Tribolium castaneum: one gene and its partners. The main gene of each other region encodes a partner of the protein of the gene in region 2 in a complex. Links are inferred from orthologs where the notes say so. Each region holds a gene or a part of one and is shown on either strand. Other genes may lie near its edges.

The links.
Region 1: Polr1B (region 2) and Polr1F share a complex: the UniProt entries of both Homo sapiens proteins name them as parts of the RNA polymerase I (Pol I) complex. The link is inferred for Tribolium castaneum from reciprocal best matches to the Homo sapiens genes POLR1B and POLR1F.
Region 3: Polr1B (region 2) and Polr2F share a complex: the UniProt entries of both Homo sapiens proteins name them as parts of the pol I pre-initiation complex. The link is inferred for Tribolium castaneum from reciprocal best matches to the Homo sapiens genes POLR1B and POLR2F.

Annotation. Positions count from the first base shown.
Region 1 is NC_087394.1:6,582,442-6,589,205, reverse strand, and holds Polr1F (DNA-directed RNA polymerase I subunit RPA43), read right to left. Parts: upstream 4,374-6,764; 5' UTR 4,125-4,373; intron 4,074-4,124; 5' UTR 4,021-4,073; coding exon 3,833-4,020; intron 3,781-3,832; coding exon 3,451-3,780; intron 2,948-3,450; coding exon 2,775-2,947; intron 2,723-2,774; coding exon 2,601-2,722; 3' UTR 2,561-2,600; downstream 1-2,560. Other genes in the region: nitric oxide synthase-interacting protein homolog, read left to right, coding at 2,047-2,234, 2,288-2,396, 2,450-2,521. UniProt on the Homo sapiens protein: Component of RNA polymerase I (Pol I), a DNA-dependent RNA polymerase which synthesizes ribosomal RNA precursors using the four ribonucleoside triphosphates as substrates.
Region 2 is NC_087399.1:7,553,666-7,565,899, forward strand, and holds the end of Polr1B (DNA-directed RNA polymerase I subunit RPA2), read right to left. Parts: intron 8,608-12,234; coding exon 8,321-8,607; intron 8,271-8,320; coding exon 7,920-8,270; intron 7,866-7,919; coding exon 7,455-7,865; intron 6,622-7,454; coding exon 6,457-6,621; intron 3,745-6,456; coding exon 3,526-3,744; 3' UTR 3,481-3,525; downstream 1-3,480. Other genes in the region: cytochrome c-2, read left to right, coding at 1,253-1,433, 3,043-3,188. UniProt on the Homo sapiens protein: Catalytic core component of RNA polymerase I (Pol I), a DNA-dependent RNA polymerase which synthesizes ribosomal RNA precursors using the four ribonucleoside triphosphates as substrates.
Region 3 is NC_087398.1:1,180,758-1,186,299, forward strand, and holds Polr2F (DNA-directed RNA polymerases I, II, and III subunit RPABC2), read left to right. Parts: upstream 1-2,540; coding exon 2,541-2,936; 3' UTR 2,937-2,982; downstream 2,983-5,542. Other genes in the region: Kua (plasmanylethanolamine desaturase 1), read left to right, coding at 215-426, 470-688, 857-1,117; probable ATP-dependent RNA helicase DDX23, read right to left, coding at 2,995-3,212, 3,308-5,378. UniProt on the Homo sapiens protein: DNA-dependent RNA polymerase catalyzes the transcription of DNA into RNA using the four ribonucleoside triphosphates as substrates.

The DNA of each region.
Region 1 (6,764 bases), on a different chromosome or scaffold from region 2:
GAAATTTCATGTGTTTTTGCATTTTTTTTTGCTTTTAGGAAGGCAATAATGTGGCAAATAGCGATAAAAACAAGACGAAAATTTACCAAATCAGACCAAAAAAGTGGTTTATTTTACTTTTTTCCAGCGTTTAGGCACATTTCTGGGGTAAAAACAAGGTTTTTTTTCGAAAAGTTTCATTAAAGTTAACTGGAAAAACACGAAATTGATGTCGTTTTCGCTTGTTTCACTTGTTTTGTTTTGCTTTTGGCTAGAAAATCGTCGAAATTGATAAAAATAAGTCGACGAACCACAATATTTGGTCGAAAATCGTGTTTCTGAGGCCTTTAAGCAAGTTTTTGAACAAAAATGTGTGTTTTTTTTAGAATGTTGCTAAAATTGGCCCAAAAATCATCAAAGTATTATATTATTTTTATTCGAGTGTTTTAATTTGTTTTGCAATAAAACGAAAGTGTACCAAATTTCCCCAAAAATGAGTCAAATTTGTTTTTTTTTCGAGTAACTAAAATCTTGTTTTTTTAAGATTTCGTTAAAACTGGCTGAAAAATAATTAAATTAAATCGTAAATTCCACAATTTTTCCTGTATTCCAAGGTTTTGGTATGTTTTATGGGATTTTTTTTGTAAAAATAAAACGAAAATGTACGTAATTTTGCTAAGCATTAAGTCAGAGTTGCCTTTTTTGAGTATTAAAGTACATTTCTGATGTTAAATCAAAGATTTACTTAGAGTTTTACAAAAACTAATTGAAAAATCACCATACTAGATCAAAATTGAAGTCATTTTAACTTGTTTCATTCGATTATTATTTCGTTCTTAAACCAGAGGCTCAGTTATGCAAGGTCTTTTCAAAATCTGCTTAAAAATTGCAAAAATCAATCGAAATTGATCGGATTTTGACTGTTTTACTGTTTTAGTTTCTAAACTAAATTAAACTCGTTTTTTAGTAAAGTTTCGTCAGAAATGAGTCAATGAAATATAAAATTTAGTCGAAAGTAGTGTTATTCTGACCTTACGCAGCCCTTTATCAAGCAAGTTTATCAAAATTTTTGTCTGATTTTGTAAAATCAAAATCAAAAAATCACATTTTTTTTCTTATTAGAGCATTTTGGTACGTTTTCCAGTAATTTTTTAGTAAAAATAAGACGAAAATGTACCAAATTTCGCCAAAAATGGAGTCAAATTTGCTTTTTCCTGAGTATTAAAGCACGATTCTGAGGTAAAAAAAAATCCGAAGTTTCACTAAATCTGATAGAAAAATTGCCAAACTAGATAGAAATTGCATTTATTGTTTCATTCGATTTACCTCTTTTTTGAATCAAATAAGGCTCATTATTTTGTAAAATTTTATCAAAACACCCCTAATAAAAATAAAAAAAATAAATCGAAATTTGAAAATGGTCATATTCTTACCTTTATGAAGTTTCTAAACAAAGTTCTTAACTAAAATATCAGTTTTTTTGTGTAATTTTGCCAAAAGTGCCCGAAAAATCATCAATTTAAATCGAATATTCCAATAATTTTGCCTGGTTCGAGCATCCTAATACGTTCTACAGCAATTTTTTCGCAAAACTTCTTTAAAAGTCATATGAAAATGTACCAAATTTGTTTTCGCTCAAGAACAGAACACAAAAAATGAATAAGTCGCCAAAAAATAATTATTTATCTAAAACCTGGCCAAAGACAAAATTTTGGGAAGACCAATAATAATGGCTAAGAACTTTCGACATAAATAAGTACAAAATTTAGCCAAAAGTGTTTCTGTTTTTGTTTGTGAGGTTGCACCAAAAATGATACTGATGGCCGCAAAATTATCAAATTAAATAAAAAATCACGTTGTTATAGTGTTTTAGTACAAATTATTTCGCAAAATTTCTTTAAAAATAAGACGAAAAAAATCACAGAAATTGGCCGGAGAGGAGTTATTTTTGTGCTAAAAACTTGTAATTTTTTCAGCGCGGGGTCTGGTTATTATTTTTTTTTGGTTAAAAAATGTTATGACCGACTAAACATATTTCCCTCAAAAGTAATTACTTTGTTTGTTAAGGACAATGTGGTATTGTGCCCCATTTCGGGGAAACCCCTCAAAGTAAAAGACTTAATTGACGTCAAATTCACTCCAATCAAGGATTCAGGCGACAAAAAATCCTTAATTGCGAAAGAATGTCGTTACATGTGTGCTGTAACACACGATGTTTTAAGTAACTCAGTTCCCTGTGCTGTTCTCAAACCAACGTAAGTTAATAACTTATTAACAACACTAAATAAAAAAATGACCGTACTTTTAGGGGTGACGTTGTTACGCTAGAATGTGTGGAGAAAATTATAAAAAAAGATTGGATACATCCGCTCACTAGCAAAAAATTGACAGAAAAAGACATCATTGTAATGCAGAGGGTAAAACAGTAACACTTCAATTTGTAACAAAAGTAATGCGGTTTTTATTATAGGGGGGTACAGGCTATGCCCAAACTAATGTGGAACTGGAAGCCAAGCAAGAACGCCCAGCTCTTCAAGCCTGAATTATTTAAAAAAAATTGAGGCATTTACAAAGAAAAGAATTGTGTTTTATATTTTATTTCATGTATTTGTGGAACAATTTTATGAAGAATCCTCTTGTACATGTTTTTTCTTTTTCTTTTTGATTGGTGGTTCAATATCTTCGTCAACTTCCGCCTTACGTTTAGTTTTTTTCTTACTCTTCTTTAAACTTATCTCAGGTTCTGAAATTAGTTGTCAAGAAGTTGTAAGAATTTTTTTTAATAAAAAATTTACCTTCTTTTATTAATGTGTCAAAATTAAGACTCTCGTCATTGAACGACTCATCAAAAATAATTTTTTTCGCTTTCTTCTTACTACTTTTTGTCACTGTCTCATCAAGGTTTTCTTCAAAAACTATTTTATTGTTCGACTCGTTTAATACGTTTGGAGTCGCGTCCAAAACATTGCTACAATTAATTGAATTAAGTTTTGTCTACAGGGTGAGTCTGTTATAAAGTATATTTGTTACTACATCTCAAAAACTAGTCCCACAGAATTCAGCGTTTGCTAGTAAATACTTTATATTTTTTTCTGTGCTTGTGATTTTTTTCAGAATTTTTCTACAATTCCGTACAATTAAAATCAATAAATAAATTAACTAAGCACTACTAATTATCTACATTTTTTTTATTTCCTGTGTCACCTGAAAACAAGCGATGGTTAATTAAATGTTGCTGAAAAAACTGTAACTAACCCCCAAAAAAAATAATTAAGTAAAAATAAAAAATTCAATTATTCGTATAAGAAAGGGTAAACAAATTCTGAAAAAGAAACACATGTATAGAAAAAAATATAAAGTATTTAATAATTTAATAACGCTGACTTTTGGGCGACTATTACTTTTTAAAATATGGTGAGAAATACTTTTAGCAGACTCACTATGTAGTTGTATGATGAAAAATAAACTTACATAATTCTACCTTTAATGTAAGGCAATTTTCCCTCGAAATTTGTTGACGTGATTTCTAGTTGTATTCTACTGCCAGGGTTCAAATTTTCGCCCAACCACTCATGTTTCTTGGGCTTTGGCAAAGACACATTAAAAATTTTATGTACCAGACAACCAACATGATCTTTAGTCTTTTTGTGTACGACACCTTCCAGTATTTTACCTTCCACAGGCTTAAAAATGAAGAATTCGGCCTCAATATCGGCGTGAATGTAGCAAGAATCATCACAGATTTTTCCTGCTTTTGACAACAATTTTGTATTTTTGTAACCACACAGAATCCCATCTAATCTACAAATAAATTATTAAAACTATTGGCAAAACTTTCATTTTTACCCAAAACCTGGCACTAAACTTCCCTATCCTTGAATTGAGGATCTCCTTAACTGAATTATTTAAATCGTTCAAGTGGTAAGGGTGGAGGGCTATGTGTTCCTGGAGGGTAAGTAATTCCACACACGAATTCTTATCCTCAACTAACGAGTTTAATTCGTTTAAATTAAAAGTTTTTAATAATTTTTGTTTTTTCATTTTCGGGGGGCCCACGTGTGGGTATGATAACCTCACTTAATTTTTTTGGAAACCTAACAAATGTGTTATAGTGCAAAAAATGACAAAAATATTAAATGACTTACGTGAAATCACAAACCCACCATTTATTAATATTAATTAGGCCACAAATCCACGATAATATATCACCTCAAGTCACAAAAAATGTGAGGTTACGTAAAATAATTAACCGGTTTTTTACACTTTTATTAATGGTTCTTATCTACTATAGTACACTTATGTAATTATACATGGCAATTGTATTTACTCCATGACCTTTTTTTGAATGTGTTAAAAAATTCTTTTTTTGATTTTTGATTCTGGTGCGCGCTTTCGACCCAATGTGCATTTGATACTCTCTTCTTGTTTCGTGTATTTGGAACCCAGACACTTTTTTGTGTCCTAGTGTTAGTCCTTACGTTCAATTAAAAGAAAACTTGTAGGAATTTGGTGTGTTTTTATATTTTTCAAAAACTCAAAAAAAAAGACTCAAAAACCATAGGATTCTAAGCGCACAGTTTAGTGACTTTCAATTTTTCCAACTCTGTGTCAGTCGTACCAATTATTTCAGGTGTTGACATTTTACGTGTTGTCTCGTTTCAAAAGTGGTAAAGGGCTTGTACAAAGTTAAATACAGTTGATAAATGTTTTAAAACTGTGTGAAATGGATTAATAAACGTAATTATTACAAGGAAACCTCTAAACCGGTGAGTTGTAGATATTATACTGTGATATCAACTCGTTAATAAGTTGGTGGTTCAAGTGGGATATGTTGCTTATTTTTTGTTTTTTAACAGAGATTAACAAAATTATTGCAAGAAATGATGCCAGATTAGTGAGGGATTAATTTTAAAGTTTTTGTTCTAGAGACAAAAACATAAATTTGTGGAACTGGATTCAGTGTTAGTGTTATTGTTTACTGCATGTTGATAGATTTAGTTGATTTCATATTACTTTTTATCTTACTACATCTGTTGTGTTATTTTTGTATGGATTAGAACCACCCAGACTCCGGAATAGATAATAATAATGACTAGATAAGTTGATATCACACAAGTACTTATCTGTTATTTCTAGTGTTTGTGCTAGTGATTGCTAATTATTTCAAGTTTTCCTTATTTATTTTTGTGTTTTTCAAAAATATACAGCTTTTATTGCATCATCTTACAGATAAAAGAACTCGTGAGAAAAATGAGTTTTTTTGATCATATTTCATGTTTCTGGTAAAGTAGTAATAAAACCGATTAAAAAACTTTAGGGACATGTAAGAAGCTAGAAAGGCATCTTAATGTAGTAATAGTAGTATGCCATAAAAATTATTATTATGATGTCATACTTTTTTGTGACACTATGTATAAACAAAAATATTTTTTTGAAATCCTAGAGTATAAATTGTTAAATAATAACTGAGCCACCGAAGATGGAAGCTGGGCTGGACCACCTGTACAGGGTGCTACAGACTTTAAATTTTAAGAAGTTTGAAAAAAAATTGTAAACACTCTGTAGTAATTCAGATCAATCAAACTCAGTTAATAAGCCTGTTAGGCCTTATTTAAGACGTACGTGATAATAATGTCATCAAAAAAGCACTGTTTCTATTTTTTACTAATTTTTAAAAAATAAAGGTGTAAAACCGATTTTTTTGTTTTTTTTTTAACAGCAATCCCTAAACTGAACTAAAAAAACCTTTGAGGACACGAAGAAGCGAAAAAGGCATCTTAATGAGCTCAAAAAAATAATAGCATTCTATTAGAAAAATATACTCAGTGTCATAAAGATTGCAACACCAAGAAGAAATAGAAATTTTTTGATAAAACTTGGCACAAATGTTAGACTTTTAACAGGTATTTAATACAGGGTGACCCAGCAGTGTGTAATCGGTCTATAACTTTTTTACTATTTGAAATATTACTATTCTGTACTAAAAATATTTTTGTTATACACAGGGTGTTGTATACAGTGTGGTGAACTAAAGTTACATTTTTTTAAATGCAACACACTATATATTTTTGCTTAATTCAATTCTACGCAAAAAATAATGTAACTTTATATAAACTATTATGGGTCAATCTCTTTTTGTTTCGGAATCATTCAACTTTTCGTTATAAAACAGACCAATTTTTGAAAAATCACTGCAAAGTCGCTTATGAATATTTTCCTATAAATTTGCAACATAAAAACTTAGAATACCTTGTAGTTTGAGGAAATAGACGACTTTTAGTTAAAGTACGCAGATAATACACAGGGTGTGCCAAAACGCAAAAAGTTCAATAACTCATTTTTTTCAAATGGAACAGCCTGTATTTTATTAAATGTGTCGATAGCATTTTTGATAAGCTTTCTAACGGTATAGGGCTTGCATAGCAAATTTAAAATATCTTTTGAGATTTTTCAAAAAAATATATTTTATTACAAGACAATATGTTAGCCTAGAATCTGATAGTCAACTGGTAATTAATTTTTGGATATGTACTAATGTGACTAATTACACAAGTAATCTAATTATTACCTGATACCTAAATGAATTTCACTCATCAAGAATTATTAATAAAATAAATAAAAAATAAAATTTTATTTTTTTGAACACTTTAAGAAATATTGTAAATTTGCTATAAAAACCGCATATCAATAGAAAGCTTATGAAAAATGCAATCGACACATGTAAAGAAATACATGGTGTTCCATAAAAAAAATGAGTTATTCAACTTTCTGCGTTTTGGCACACC
Region 2 (12,234 bases):
AACTAAAAATTGAATCTTTTGATTTATTTACTACACATTTTCTTAAATGTTTCCTTTATTGTCAAAGATATCAATTAAAAAATTATCCTGCATTTATTTAAAAGTTTTGTTTCTCAAAAAACGGAGCCATTTTTACAGTTTTTCCTATAATATTATGTTGTCGTTGACTGTCGTTGACTTTTTCAAAAACATTTTTCCATATTGTGTACTACTCAGGTTTTTTGCTACCTTTACTCATCGTAAATGTCCTATAATTGAATTAAAAGTACTAAAAATTTCTTAAAACTCATTAATTATTCAATTAACTATGAACTTAAGAAATAAAAAATATAAGAACTAAAAATTTAATCGACTGATTTATTTACTACATATTTTCGTAATCAAAATAAGATATTTTTACCGCCCTAGGCTATAGCCCATTTAGCCCATATGTAAATATGCCACAATTACTGATTTTAATTTTACCAATTACAATTATTATAATAGCCACAGTAATAGCATTTTTTAAGTAATCAATGAGCTGTGTTGGAACGCGTTTTGGTGTCCCTAATGTATATGCAACCACCAATACACTCACAGAAAAATGGGCTAGTTTGTGTAAAGTGGGCTTTACCGGAAATACTGACGCGCCCTCTAGCGCCTAATAGCCGAACTAAACCCTAAAATTTCGTAGCAAGACAATCCGTGCGCGGGAGTTGGCGAAATAATCGAAATCGATCAGTGAATTCCAGTTCGCGAGAGCAGCAGGTCGGCGAATTCAGGTTCGTACTAAATTTTTCCGCAATTTCACAATTTTATCTCGATTCATAACTGGCAAAAGCCACGTCGTTTCACCTCACGTGACCGCAATGAATTCGTAATTTATGCCCAAATTTTCCGATAATTAATCCGCTGATTGATTACATAACAAGTGACTTTGAACAAGTGGCCTTATTCACTTGTCACATCATTTTTTGAGCGTTCGCTTCGCATTTCTGCTTCAAAATTTTTGGTTATGTAAGTTTGGCTCCGGTTCAAAAACTTCACCTTCACCCACATCTAGCGTAACAATTATCTCTTATCAGCGAGAATCCCGAAGAATCGAGCAGACTGTGAATCACGTGTGTGACGTCAACGGTCTTCCAAAGTACGCTCCGTGGAATTTGCCTAACCTCTAGACACGTGGACGGTATTGCGTTAGCGTTACATCACCTGATAGCACTTTTTGCAACGGGATTTATCGAAAATTATCAGTTGCAGTTAAGCGAGCATCATGGGAGTACCGGCTGGTGATGTCGAAAAGGGCAAGAAACTCTTCGTCCAAAGGTGCGCGCAGTGCCACACTGTCGAGGCCGGAGGCAAACACAAGACCGGCCCCAATTTGCACGGATTGATCGGACGGAAAACGGGGCAAGCCGCCGGTTTTGCTTACACCGACGCCAATAAAGCCAAAGGTAAATAAATCAATATTAACTCACCTGGAAAAGCACGAAAAACAGCCATCTTTTTTTCAAAATGTGACATTTGGCCAAAGTGCCAATCGAAAATTCAGGGGGTGCAACCACACCGTATCAAAATCTCCAGATTAATAAACAAATATCGTTAATTAAGTCAAAAATAAGATTTCCATTTCTTCAAAAATTGCTATAATTTTGAGAAATTTAGTGGAGACAATATCGCCCGGTTGAGGACACTGCTATCCCAACAACCGGTGTCTAAAGGTTAAGACGAACAAAAAAGACGTTCCCGTCTTCATTAGTTCCGTTAATGTCGCCAGAGAGCGCAATTAATTTTCAATAATAAGACGTAAACATTATGCAAAAATGTTATCGGAAACTATATTTAAAAAAATTTCAAGACTACCAATTGGCACTCAAAACGCTACGAATACGGTTACAGATGCAAGAAAAAATGTTAGGGGGAATGTTATAAAAAAATTGAATTTCCTACAAAAAAATCACAATAACCACCTTATCTAACCGTTATCTGTGCGTGGTTATTTCCGATTATGTAACTTCTAACCTTTATAACGCCTGGTTATATTATATAGGTTAAAACCTATAGGTCATAAAATTTATTACAAATTAAACTTCTAAATGTTACTGTTAGTGTCTTTATCCAGCCTGTTTGGGGTGCACCATAAGTGTTATCCAGTGTTTTTTGTTGATTCCTTGTTGACGATTTTCAGAATAAAATAATCAGAAGTTCCATAACTAAACTGTAGGAATAACAGAACAAACATGGAGCTAGTTATGTTAAAAATAATACACTGACGCGTAATTAGAACAATGTGCTGCTATCATAGCAAAACTTCTAACGCCACAGCTTATTTAAAAAAAACTTAATTACTAATTTTCACCGTTTTCGGCATTTTAAAAATGTAATAGTATAAATAATGTAAATAGTATATACTATAATGAAATAGTATAAATTCACAAAGTGTTCTAATGTCGCCATTCCTACCTGACTACCACTACTGTTTTAATTTTTTTTTATTTTTTAATGTAGAATGTACAAAACTTTTGTTTATATTGGTCTGGACCTTCGATACTTCTACATTTTTTCCTCCATAGCTGATTCAATAAGCTTCTAAACTTCTAAGCTTTTTAACAACTCTTCTCAGTTTTGGACAAATTTTCAGAAATTGTAGGATTAAAAGGGTAGAAAGTGGGAAAAATCTATTCTTGTAATAATTTACTTTATTTTTGACCAATTCATTATCTTTGTCAACGCTTACAGTATTATATAGAAAAGCTTTTTTCAGTTAAGTATAAATTATCTACACTAACAATATGATAAGCATGAAGTATGACTGATATTATGTGCGTGGTTGTAAGAGGTATAAGTACCGAGCAAAAAAAGAATAAGCACTGTCGAATGGCCTTATCATCAACAAACTAGAAATTCTTTAGATCTGAAAATACTCATGCTAACTTACAATTTTGTGTTAAAAATTTATTGAATTTATTGTTATATGTTGTAGCTTTAGCTTTAGAGTGCAAAGCTCAACTTTTTTGCATTTAAATTCCATAGTCCCAGCCTGACTGGCAATTTTTGTTGCAGGAATCACATGGAACAAAGACACGCTGTTTGAGTACCTCGAAAACCCCAAGAAATACATCCCCGGAACAAAAATGGTCTTCGCTGGTCTGAAGAAGCCGCAAGAACGGGCGGATCTTATCGCTTACTTGGAACAAGCAACCAAATAAACTGCCGAAATCGCCGGTAAAGTCCAAATTACGACAGCCCGTATGTGTGTGCACATATTTGCCGTAATCTTGACTTTAAATCGCTCGTATTAGTAGTCATTTTGTCGGTTGAGTACAGTTGTCGTCACTTGTACAAAACCGGGGAAATACTTGTACAAACTAGCCAATTTTTCCTTAAATTATTCAATTGACCGACATTTTCATTGTAACGCTGTACAGTAAGCATTAGATAACTTATTTTATTTTTGTGTTTGTTTTATCTGTTTCACGTTACCGCAAGAAGATTCAAAAATAAATTATTATCGTTTATTTTCTCTTTTATTACAAAAAAAAAAAATTACACGTGTTGTGTTAACATTTTTACATTTATGTTACACGACGCCATTTGGGTTACAAAAAACTTGAAAATGTAAGGGATTTGTATCTCGGAAATGTCTCGGCCGTGGCCACACAACCTACAAGTTTCCTTGCAAGTGGATTGGTTCGCTTTTTCAGCCACTCGGGTTATCACAGTCACTGGACCCAATAGAGTGCCACAAGAGGTGCAGATAAATGCCTAAAAAACAATCGCTACATTAAATTTTAATCCATTTGGGATATTTCTGGATAGGAAGTGGATTAGTGGATGTTTAATTTAATTTAATTTTTCGTCAGTGCCGTTACTTACGTTTTGCGAAATTCTTCTACTTCAAGCTTACAAATCACTAAAATAGTTCCAAAATGGGATTTTTTGTTTTTTTTAACTATAAAAGGTTTTTCCACAAGATTTCACTAAACCGCGAAAAATCTATTTATTTTCACACAGGTTTTCAGTCGAAACGAAATTTTTTTACGAAATTTCCGCAATAATAAACCGCAGAATTGTTGAATACTAGTTCAAAAATGGTGCATTTTTACCATTTTCGAGCGTTTAAGTGCTTTTCCGTGATAAAGGCACGTTTAGTTCACGAGATTTCACAAAAACCGGTCAGAAAATTTACTCGAATTATCGGAAACGTGTTTTAAAACAGTGTTAATATTTTAGGATTTAGATTTTAAAAAGAAGGCTTACCAACAAAAAAAAGGTATCTTGTCAAAAATAAATCAAAAAATCGCTAAGGTAGGTACAAAAATTGTATTACTATTGTTTTTTCGAGCTATCTTGCACGTTTTTAAGGTAATATAATAATTTAATAATTCAGTTTTCTCACGAATTTTCGTTAGAAAGGAACGAAAAACCACAAAATTAAATCAAAAACTAAATAATTTTTAGCTTTTTTGAGCGTATAAACACTTGTCTGAGATAAAGCTTTATTAAATTTTTCGTTTATCGAGCGTTTTATGACGTTTTTCTCCTAGAAATGCAATCATTTCATGTAATTCTGTTAAAAATACATCGAAAAATCGTCAAGATATTACGTCCGAAATGGTGCCGTTTTAGCTTTTTGTCACGTTTTTCATTTAAAAACTCAGGTTTTTCGCACAATTTCGTTAAAGGTGGACGAAAAATCACAAAATTAAATGAAAAGCTAACATTTTTGTTTTTTGAGAGATTTCGCCAAAAAAGGCTTGAAAAATAACTAAATCTCTTAACTTAATTAGTGCGAGGAATTTCATCAAAAATATACAAAAAAAATTAACAATTTACGATAAAAAATTGTGTTATCATTGCATTTTTTCGAGCTTCCTAGCACGTTTTTGAGCCAAAAACCCCTGTTTTCACGAGATTTCATCAGAACGAACCGAAAAATTATAAAATAAGTCAAATTAAACCATCACTTTTCAAGCTTTTAAGCACTTGTCTAACGTAAGGCCTTATTTTCGCCACAAACACAATTATTTCGAAGACTTCCGTCAAAAATAAATCGAAAAATCACACAGTTACATCCAAAAATAGTGTTACTATGCCAATTTTGAGGTTTCTACCACTTTTTTGAGCTAAAAACAGATTTTTTATAAGATGTTTTTGTTAGGATAGACTTAGCAGTATTTCCCAGGTTTGCCAAAAAAAGTATTGTAATGGCGGAATTTTATAAAATGGCTAACGTAAAAATTACAAAATAATAAATTGAAATAAAATTGGCAGCACCCCATTGTCTCTGTGGGCCATAAATTATTTTTCTTTAAAAAATTAATTATGTTTTCATGTTCAAGATTCATCAAAATTTCGACTTTTACGGATTCTAGATAGTTTGTTGAACGCGTTTTTATCGAACACTTGGAGAGAGATATTACCACTTTATATCTATGAAAACAGAACTCAATGCTTATTAAATAATAAGAACAGGTAATAATATTATGAACAAAAATCAGCTTTTCGTACACAAATTTTAATAAAAAAGGACGCTTCTGCTGAAAAAATAAACTTATTTATCGACGGAAACAATTATATGTTATGAAGACTGGTTATCAGTTTTCTGTAATTTGAACTGAAATAGGCGAGAAGTTAAAGCAAGTTCTAAATTCTTCTTCAGACTTTAAAAGTTTAAAAATAATATTGGCATTTTTTTTTATTCCTTCGTATTATTTGTTTTCTATCTCACATAATTATTTTGCATTTTCCTTGCTTTCTTTTTAATAAAAATTGGAAATTGCAGCGTTAATTAAGCACTTTTTGTCACATCTACATCAAAAACTGTTATCTGATAACGGAATTTGACCCTGTTTCTGTGTTTTCGTATCTATATTTTCATCTAGGATATTTTGCCAACATTAGTGACATTTTTTCAAAATAAATCAAATACTGGACGCAATTTTTTTTTTACTAAAATTCCTCCAAATGAATTGGCTGAAAGTATTTACTGTAATCTGTTCCTAATTTTAAAACAAAAAATATAAAAAATACGTAATAAATAATTCAACAATATCTGTCGGATGTTAGAAGGGGTTCGAAAGGTGAAAAAGGTGGGGAACCGCTGAGATATAGGACCGAAAAAACCGTAAAAATTATATCAAAACGTATATCAGAGTTTTTGGGCGTGTTTTAATAAGAAATGTAATTATCTCGCAAAATTTTTAACTAATACAAAAAACCAGCAAATTAAATCAATAATGCTGTTTTTTCAACCTTTTTCAAGTATTTAAACACATTTTAAACCAACTAATCTGGGCGCAAAAACGTTTTAACACGATTTTCAACCAGAAACGCAATTATTTCGCGAAATTTCGGAAAAACATACAGTAGAAGAGAGAAAATTTGTCAAAAATGAAGCTAAGATGGGTGAAAAACTCACACTATTCGAGCAACGTTTTTTTACCTAGAAGTATTAATTAATAATTATGTACGTACTGTTGTTTTATCGGAACAGTGGAATAAGCGATCTTGTAACAAAAACGAAGCGCCATGACTGATCAACGAATCACGTTCCATCTCTCCAAATCGCACACCCCCTCCTCGTTTCCGCCCTTTGAGGGGCTGTCTCGTCAAAATATCGGTCGGCCCAGTTGAACGCACCTACAAATTTCCATAAAAAAAAAATAAAAAATACAACACAAAAATTATAAAACAATAATAATAATATTAAACAAAATCGCATAAACTTGAAAATTTTGGCATTGTAAGTTAGTTTACCGCGAATTTAGGCTTTCAAAAACAGGTTACGTTATATGTCAGTGTCAAATTGTTCAAATCCTACAAAATACGTTAAGTCAGTCAAGTTTTCTGCTTGTAAGTAACACTGCTTAGTCATTTTACCGATATTTGAGTACATTATTTGCACTTTAAGTCGCTAAAAAGGGACGTTCAGACAATCATAAAACTGCTTCACTCAATATTATTTACAGTCAAAACATGACAAAAACTATCAAATATAACACATTTTAATAAGAAATCTAAATAAATTAATGGACAACTAATCAAATACACCAAATAAACTTGTGTATTGAAAATATGAACGGACAAAAAAGAAGGCCGGTAAAACCTACTTTACAAGTTATTTTAGACAAATAATTAGTTATTGTTTTTTGTGAGCCGCAGATTGATTTAATCTCTCTCGTCATAATATTGAAAATAACCTTTGTCAGTGGTTGCTGAGTGTCTTGGTGGCCCCCCAGCCAATTTGATGGGGTTACACAAACAGCAATAGGGGGCTAGTTCGTTGCTGCACGCTTAATTCTTTTAAATTCGTTAATTTTGACAATGTCAAAGACAAACTTCAAATTTTCATGACAGTAGTAAAAGCATTGCCAACTGTCAAATTTAGTAACATAACTTGGTCCGAATACAACAGAATGAAAATCTCCAATATCCCAATATTACAAAAGTGATCCGACTTTTTTTTTAATCACCTGCCACTTATCCGAAACCATGTGTCTCAAGCGCTGGTAGTGAACGATCCCGAAAAATATTTGCGCTGTCATTTCCCTACCATCAATCCCCGAATACATGGTCTCAGTCCCGTAATAATTATAACCCCCTGCTTCCAACAACCGACCAAAATAATCAATCGCAGTGTCTTCTTCTGTAAATTTAAAGGGAGTTGCATCATGTACTAGCCCATGAAGCGCTGCCGATTTCCCAGCCATGACCTCAATCATCATAGCGATGGTCATACGAGAGGGAAACCCATGAGGGTTGAAGACAATATCAGGCACAAGCCCTGTCTCCGTAAAAGGTAAGTCCTCCATGGGCCACTTTTGCGAACAAATGCCCTTTTGTCCTGCCCGACTTGCGAATTTATCGCCAACGTTCGGGTTACGCTACAATTAAAATAATTACCAAGAACTCAATAAAAAAAAATGTGGGGGAAGTACCGGGACTCTGAACGTGAAACACGCCGTCCGATTGGTCGTTTCAAAACTGGCGCACAGTTTAACCATGTCGACAAAACACTCCTCTTTCCCCGAAAACTTGGTTACTTTGTACACCGACTCGTCCACACTGTAGTAACAGTACAGGGGATCCCCATCTTTCATTCGGCGTCCGATGATTGGCAAGCCGTCCGTGTCTAAGAATTCGGCCAGTTCCGGTTTTTCCGGGTTTCGGCAAAAATACGAAGACTCGTGTTCAAGTGTTACAAATTCGGTTTTGTAAATGGAACCGTGGGCAAAACCACGCTCGTCCGCGGCTTTGTTTATTATCATTGCGTCTTCCATGTCATAGCCCTGGGAACAGATGGTTCAATTGGGGATTTTTCCGAAGTTAATGGGTTTACAGTGTAGCTGATAACGGCAACAATGGCGTTTGTGCCCATGGCGAAGTCGTCAAGGTTGATGTTGTCGTAGTGGACGGGTCGGAAAAGGGGAGTCGCCGGTGTTTGGAGGCGGTAGAGTTTGGTTTCGGATTGGGAACGCCAGTTGTGGCAAGGAGTGCCCATTGTTTGTTTGCCCATCTGGCACTGGTACATGTTACGGGGTGATTGGTTGCAGTCGGGCATGGGGATTAGTTGGGCTAGGTTTGAGAGGAAGGCCAGTTTGGAGAGCTCCATGTGGGTCGTAACACCTAAAAAAAACACGAAAAATTGCAAAACACTTCGGTTTTTAATAAATACGTTAAAACAAAAATTATTTTTTTTACTGGTGGCTGAATGACAGGATAGCACCAAAACAGCTGAGAATAGAGATAGGGTCTCCAGTTTTTAGCAGAAAATTTGATTCTTCACAACTTTACTCTTTACACTTTTTTTACCCAATGAAAATTAGAACTAAACAGTTTTTGATAAAAGTTTTTTTTTTTCGTTGAATACCACCGTCAATTTTCAACAAAATCAAACACAGGTAAGGATAGGAAGTGTCTCTCCTTGTGAATATTTTCACATTTGTAAATAATTTACTAAATTTTTAAGTTACGACATAATGTAAAAATTCAGTTAACGAGCAGTAAAGAAAAAAGTTTTTTTGAATAACCAAATGAAAAACAAATTGCAATCTTTTGTATGTAATCTATCTTATTCGAACTTACCCTATAATGTTTGATAGATAATATACTGATTTTTTTTATTATTCCTTCAATAAATAAAATTATAAAATTTTGATGCACCGCTCGGTTACCGATAAGGGACAACTGGTCAAGAGGTTCCTGTTTTTCTCACCATGGTGTGCAATTCGGATACGTCCATATTTTTTTTTATTGTCACTAAAATTTTTGTACTTTTGTCTCGAATTACTATTGAAAATGCCGATTCTGTATTTTTTTACCTTGTGCTTACCATTATTTGAATAGATCATTTTTTTTATTTCATTGCTCTTAAAATTCAGGCTAGTTAGGCACTGAAATAAACTAAAAAAGTCCCGAAAGCAGGTCCGAAAAATGTTTTAGTAAATTCTCTTTTTTCACCAGAAAATAACTTCCAACAGATCTTGTCGAAACAAACCGACTAGTTTTTGAAAATAAGATATAATAACGTAAACATAGAAAAAAGAATAAGAAACAGAAAAGTATAACAAAATAAAAAACAATGTTTTTAATATGCAAATATTTATTCTTTATTTGCTTCTTTGTTTCACCATATACTCAGTGGTTTCAGCCAATTCTGGAAATTTTAGCTCATTCATGAACCAAAAACTAAAAGAATTTAAAAAATCGACAAATTAAATTAAATTAAATTAAATAAAGCGATCAGTAATAAATTCGATTTTGATCAGTAAAAAATAATAAATGCACAGTAAAAATAATAAATGCACAGTAAATAAAATAAATCGTTCAAATAAAATACTGTGCATTTAATTTGTACCAACTATTTCAACCAATTTCAAATGATTTATCTAGCTCACAAATAAAAAAAATCGATGATAAATGAATTGTCTTTTCGATTATCTACCCTTTTTATCCCTATCTGAATTGTTTGTGAAAGAAAAAATAATCCGCAGACTGAAAAAGTTTGACTTTAATTCAAAATTCTTTAAATTATTGAGCATCTTTTACTGTTCTCTCCCTTGTAGCTGTTATATCTTTTTCTCTAATCCAAATTAAAAAAAATTACTGCAAAATGGTGTGATCAGTAATCACTAATCAGCCAGCAATAGAATAATTATTTGGTAATTTAAAAAAATAAAAATAAACACAAGAAGACAATTACATTGCCACATAAAAAATGCAAATAAGAGAAGCAAATTAATGTATAATAATGATTCGACAGCTACAACAAAACAGTTATTTGAAGCTTATAAACAAAAACTCTAAAGATAAAAACCTGTAAAATAAGCGTTTTAAGAACTAAATAAAAGTGTAACAACAATAGAAAAATAAATAAAAAAAATCAATTTTAATTTTGTTTTTGTAGGTGGCAGCAAAAAAAATAAATTTGTTGGCAACTACGATTTTTGTAATTAAAATATACGCAAAGTGCAAGTGACTAACTTCAAAAAATTCAAAATCAGAACATTAATAATAACAAAAATACAAAGTGTAAAATGCACATTGATGTATAATTAAAAATTATTTTAAAAGAGCTATGAAAAAATTCGCTAAATATTTAATAGCGTACTACATACTCGTTATTACGTATTATTTTTTTTTGTGTTTTCAGCAAAAGTATGCAAGTCAAAATTAAATTTAATGCATTCTTTAAAAGTAGAAGAAATGTGTTGTACTTAGATTTTTTACTGTTTTACAGAATACATAATTATGTAATGTGAAGAAATAAGAACAGATATAAAACCAAAAACCTTCAAAAGAAGATTTGTCCCTAACAATTGGACTTGATGAGATTTTTTTATTATTTTTGCCCTTGTAAGCAAAATACCTAACCAGTTAAGTAGTTTTTCCATTTCATTAAAAAATGGAGACCTCTTCAATTTAGTATTTATAATAGAAAACTCATTAAAAAACGGGAGAGCCAATTATGTCCAAAGTAAAAAAGTCCAAAGTATTTCTGTCCAAAGTAAAATGATTTTTATTATGATTAGCCCAAACCACAAGGACCTTTCAAGCTAATTAATTATTCAGGCAAGCTTATTGTGTGATTTATTGCAGACAGGTTGCAATCTTTCAACGAACCGATCGATATCGTAAATATTTTCGGGTCGCCCTTGTCAAAACATCTTATTGTGAGGCTCGCTGATCTTAAACACCATTATCTGTTGTTAAACTTCATGGTGTACAAAGAAAACGTTGCTACAATACTTCTGTCCACCGTAAAAAAGTCAAAAACGTAATTTCATCCAACATAAAAATATCCAAAGTATTTTTGTGTATAACGCAAAATGATCATTGTTCACCGTAAAAGTATCCAAGGTTTATAGAATTCTTTTCAATACCAAACATGGTAGCAAAATAACGAAGTATACTGTTTTTCTATGTCGCAAATTGTAAATAAAGTGTCTAAAGTAAAATTTAAATTTAATAGTTTTTAGATTATTTATATAATCTTGAAGGAATATATATCTGAATAATAAAGGAATTGAATATCTTTCGACATTTTTATGTCAAAGTGACATTGCGATTTTAAAAAAAAGGTTTTAAAGAATCTGCATTACTTCTGGTAAAACGATGTTTGCTAATACGTTAATGAAAACTTGCTTCTTTTAATAATATGCAGTTAAACAATTTTCCAATTTTTTTTCTTAATTTTAAATTAATTATTTCATAAATGATACGTTCAAAAAAAAACTTGTAGCGCTAAAATGTGGACCTTTGGTTCTAAAAGGTGTAATTTAAATTTTGTTTAAATTAATTAATAAATAAAAAAGTTATGAGGGGGGTGCCCTTTTCGGTGGGACACCCTGTATATTTATTTTTATTTTATTTTAATTTTTTATTTATTTATGTATTATATATTATTATATACATATTATATACACTATCGGACAAAAGTAAGGCAAAATGTTGAAAAATATACACATATTGGTATTTTAAATTTTAAGAGTTGGTATTTACTTTCAATTTAATTTTATAATAAATGTTTAAAGATATTCTTATTCGTGTTGAAAATGGATAGCCTGTGGGTAATTATTATGACATACTACTAGCTTGAAATATAAAAATGCCCGATATTAATGTGACAAAAGTAAGGCAACATTGTCAGAAAATATTTTCAACTCAAATTTTATTTTATTCAACATTTCCATAACACTACCCAACACTAAAATTTAAATAAATAGAACGAAAAATTCAATAATTTATGGCATA
Region 3 (5,542 bases), on a different chromosome or scaffold from region 2:
ATCGACAGTGTGTTTTATTCTGATAGGTGCTTATTTAGGAAGAATCGATCTTGTCGTCGATATTACTTAGCACAAGTTCGTTTATTATGCATTGATGACATTTCATATTATTCCGATGACCCATTAAACTCGATTATTTTTAATATTCCTCCTAGTTTACACTAATACTGGGCCCAAGTGTAATTAGCCGAGTCACACCGCTCCCTTTTTGCAGGGAAGCGGACTCAGGAATGCATCTGCGTGGGAATCTGCTTGACCCTTATGGTGGTCAACTTCTTCTTCATAATATTCCACGTCCGTATGGACAACTTGAGCACGATTTTGGTGGCGGCGTTTTGCGGCATTGTGACGGCGGATTTCGGCTCGGGACTCGTGCACTGGGCGGCCGACACGTGGGGCTCGGTGGAGCTCCCCATCTTGGGCAAAGTGAGTGGAGAGCGAAATGTTTGATATTTTAAATTTTGTGTAGAATTTTTTGCGGCCGTTCCGCGAACACCACATCGATCCGACGTCCATCACCCGCCACGACTTTATCGAAACCAACGGTGATAACTTCATGGTGACCATTCCGTTTCTGGCGAGGATGGTTTGGGATTTTCTGACGCTGCCTGCGGACGGGGTCGAGAGGAAGTTCACGTGGAATTGCTACGTGTTTCTGTTGGCGATTTTCGTGGCAATGACCAATCAGGTAGAGTTAATTATTGATTCGAATTAATTCCTCGGGTCGTGTGTGCGCTTTTAGATCAGCTCGCGATATAATACTTTATAAAATGATAGGGCCCGTGGCAAACACGCACACCTGGGGTAACGCGCCCGATAAATCTGAGTTCATTTGCTGATTGGAGCCACTTTCCAGATACACAAGTGGTCGCACACCTACTTCGGGCTGCCGGCGTGGGTGGTGTGGCTGCAGGAGCACCATGTGATTCTGCCGAGGCGCCACCACCGCATCCACCATGTGGCCCCGCATGAGACCTACTTTTGCATCACCACCGGGTGGCTCAATTGGCCGTTGGAGAAGCTGCGCTTTTGGAGCATCCTAGAGCTGCTGATTGAACACACCACGGGCTACAAACCGCGGGCTGATGATATGAAGTGGGCGCAAAAGGGCACGTGATATTTTTGTCTTTGTTATGAATGGGGTTTGTTTTGTTAGTTCTACGTGTCTGTGGAATAATTGCCAAAAGTTCATTTAGTTGATTTAGCGATTTATTGGTGATAGAGAACACCACGTTTTGTTCGATTCAATAAATACATAATCAAGTGCCTGATTTTAAGATTGGACAACGAATGTAATGTACTTTTATTGTTACAAAATCATGTTAACCATTGGGGACCAAGCGATGGGCCTTGGGCCAATTTTTTAAATGTTTAATAGTTCTTACAATTTAGCCTAATGATTTGATCAATTTTAGATTTATTGAAGCTAGTCTTAAACACTCCAGGGATAATCTACACGCACTACCAAAGTAGTTAGAGTGCCTGATTTAGGTACTTTATGAATCATTATCATTACAAACACGCTTAACACCCAGTAGGGTAATTTGTACGACTTATGACTAGGCTAAGGTTTTTAATTCTCAACTTGTTTGCAATTATTTAATTATTTGAGCTTTATGACGAGCTCCGTCTGCGTTTTATTCAATTAATCAATAAGCAGTCGTACGCTAGAAACTACCACAAAAAATGGTTTGTTAACTAGACAAACACTGTGATTTAAACATCGCAATAAATCGCAGTTATTTTTACCATTTCTAGACAAAACTGCAATGGTGCGCTCAGCTCCATTTGCGTGTGCGTCATCTGACATTTCTCTCACTACGTTTACACAGCAGGGGCATAGCGGTGACAAACTATCAAATATTTTTTGAGGTTACGAAGTTGTTACAAAAAATACAGATTCACAAAACAAGAACTAATAAACGCAGAATCAAAAACCTAACGAAACGCAAATCACAAAACACAATAAACGAACAGAAAATACTTACGATTAACACCGATAACACACACTTTCGACAACGATGCGACGACGTCTATAATTTACTGTCAATGTCAATTAATGTTCAAGGATACCACCCTTAGATAGCCCTTAGCTGTTTAAATTTGCATTGTTTTTGACAATTTTTATAGCTTTGTGTTGGTAATGAAAAAATGAAATTGACGCACACGCAAATCGAGCTGACCGCCACTATAATAGACAAGACGGTATTTTATAAAGTCTGGAACAAATGCAATTATTTTATACAATAAAGTTGCTTGAATTTAATGTGTTTTATTTTTTTCGCACCAAATTGTTAACTAAACTTAAAAAAATCGTAACAATCAAAATTTCATCAAAAAAAGTTTTTATCGCAACTGCGACGCAACCAACAATACACTAAAGTAAAAGTATTGTTTGAACCGATAACAAGTTTCGGACTGATGCACTTTCGTGCAACTCTCCAATAACCAATACTTTTGACGTTTGACGCATTTGACATCTGAACGTTGTGCTATGTTTGTGTATGCCTTTAAATTAGTCAATTAGCTAGAAATCGAGAATGAATGACGAAGAATTCGACGGTGATGACGTGGGGGACGACTTCGACGACGACGTCGATGACGACAACATCGAGGAGCTGGAGCAGCCCGAGGAGGAAGGCGACAACATCGACATCCTCGCTCATGGCCAAGCCGGGGGCGGAGTGCCCAAAAACAAACGCATAACAACCAAATACATGACCAAATACGAAAGAGCTCGTGTTTTGGGAACAAGAGCTTTGCAAATCGCCATGTGTGCCCCAGTTATGGTGGAACTAGACGGAGAGACAGACCCGCTTCAAATCGCAATGAAAGAACTCAAACAACGGAAAATCCCCATCATAATCCGGCGTTATTTACCCGACCACTCGTACGAGGATTGGGGCATAGACGAACTCATAATAATTGACCACTAGTGTAATAAGATTTTGTTTTTAAGAATAAAGGCTAAGTAAACATCGAGTTTTATTTTAATTAAGCGAAAATCATTTCGTCGCGGCGGCGTTTCGGCTGATTGGGCCGAATCTGGCATTCAGGGTGGTTCATTAGTTCAGGGGGGCACGTTGAGACAGGTGACGATAGCAACATTTGCTTCAAATCGTAAAATAGGGCCGAGTCGTCGTTGGTGCAAAAACTGATAGCCACCCCGCTCTTCCCGGCACGGCCGGTTCGGCCAATACGATGGGTGTAATCTGAAAAAAAATAAACAAATTACAGATTAGATTTCCTTTTTTCTTCAGTTTGCACTAGTCATAAAGAAAAAAAATCTGGGACAAACTTATCTTACCTTCAATAGTCTTGGCCATGTCGTAATTAATAACAACGGAAACATCCTTAATATCAATCCCTCTCCCAGCCACGTCAGTGGCCACCAAAATGTCCTTAGCCCCCGACTTGAGACTAGCCAGTGCGTACTCTCTCTGCTCCTGCCCCTTACCCCCATGGAGCGTACACGCATTGTAGCCCAACTTCTCCAACCCTTTGGCCAAAACATCGGCCCCTTTCTTCTGATTAACAAAAATAATAATCGGTGGATCGACCCCTTTGGACAAATACTCCATCAACTTCTTCCTCTTATCGTTCTCAGTCATAATATGCACAATTTGTTCGACCCGTTCCGTCGGTTTCCCGATCGAACCAATGTACACAACCGCCGGACGTCTCAAATACGTCCTCGCCAGTCGCTCAACCGCCGGTGGCATAGTTGCCGTAAACATCACCGTTTGCCGATATTTCTTCTTACTGTTGTAATTCGCCAAAATTATTTTACTATCTTCCGCTTCTTCCGAGTCCGGTTTCAAGTTAGTGACCGGCATGTACTCCAAAATTTTTTGCACATCTGCCTCAAATCCCAAATCAATCATGCGATCGGCTTCGTCCATAACAATGTACGTGCACTGGTTCAGGACCAAGTAGCGATTTTCCAAAACATCAATAAGTCGTCCCGGGGTTGCAATAACAATCTCGCACCCCATTCGCAGCCTAAAACCTTGCTCCTCGCGACTTAAACCGCCCACAACCACCACAGTGCGGATCCCCAACGGTTGGCCAAACTTCACCGTCTCCTCCTCGATCTGTTGGGCCAATTCACGCGTGGGGGCTAAAATAATGGCATAGGGGCCCTGATCGGCATCTTCAGTGCGTTCGATTTTCGGGAGCGATTGAATCCAGGATAAAAGCGGGATCAAAAACGCAAGCGTTTTGCCCGAACCGGTCTCCGCAACCCCGATAATATCCCGGTTCTGCATCCCGATGGGAATCGCCTGTCTCTGGATGGGGGTTGGTTCCTTGTAGCCCACTTTATCGATGATTTCCAGCAGCTCTTTCTGGATGCCTGACTCTTTCCAGGAGCGGATGGGTTCCGGGATTTTGCCGCCTTTGATTGTGATGTTGTAATCTTCGCGGAAAATGCGCCAATCACGCTCGGTCATTTCCGAGACGTCTTTCTCCGACCAGTGGCGATCGTCCCACAGTTGCTTCTCTTCCTTACGTCTGACTTTCTTCAACCTGACTTTTTCCTGGGCTTTTTCCGCTTCGGTGCGGCGTTTTTCGAGTAGTTCGCCGTAGAATTTGCTTTGGTCGCGTTTTTGGGCCTTGATGTCGATTCCGGCGAGGTTTCCGCGGCCGAAAAATTGCACCTGGTGGCGCTCTTTGTACAAGGGATTGTAGTCCTGGGACGTGTCCTCACCGGCGTCCCAGTCGAACACGAACTTTCGGTCGTTCAAACGCCTAACTCGTCGCTTCTTTTTTATCAAACCCAAGTAGCGTTCTTTAATCGCGTCGGATTCCTTCTCCCTGTCTTTATCCTTCTGTTTGTCTTCGTCTTTTTCGCGATCACGCGGCCGCCGAAACTCCCGGTCATCCTTTCTCTGTTCCTCCTGTCTGGAAGCTTGCACGTTTTCGATTATTTTCCGTTCGGCTTCTTGTTGTTTCCTCAAACGGTCAACTTCCTCCTGACGACGTTTCAACGCCTCTGCGGCTCGCTGTTCCTTGGTCAAAAACACCGGCTTGCTTTTGGCCGCTTCTTCGGCCTTTTTCTTAGCCAGAAGCTCCTCCAATGACAAGGGTTCCTTCTTAGGTGCTGGTTCCTGTTTCACGTCTGATTTCGTGTCGGGTTTCGTTTCTGTCTCTGGTGTTGGTGATCGCTTTCGCGAGTCTTTCGATTTCTTGTCTTTATCATCTTTCCGGTCACGTTCAGACTTACTGTACCTGTCGTATTTGCTGCTGGAACTCTCGTACTTGTCTCGGGAACGAGACCTGTACCGTTTGTGGGGGCGCTCTTTGCTACGTGAGCGCGAACGCCGTCTCTTATCCAGGCGGTCTCTGCTACGAGAACGGCGCTTTTTATCGTTCACCATCGATCACTTTCAAGAAATATTAAATTGGAAAAACGTACACAAAACGTAGGTTAGGTTGACATTCACAAACGTCAAAGCTTATTCGCACAAGCGCTAAACTATTAGTACTATAACAAAAACACAATTCGAATTAACAATAATATTCCATTTATCACTCTGTAATC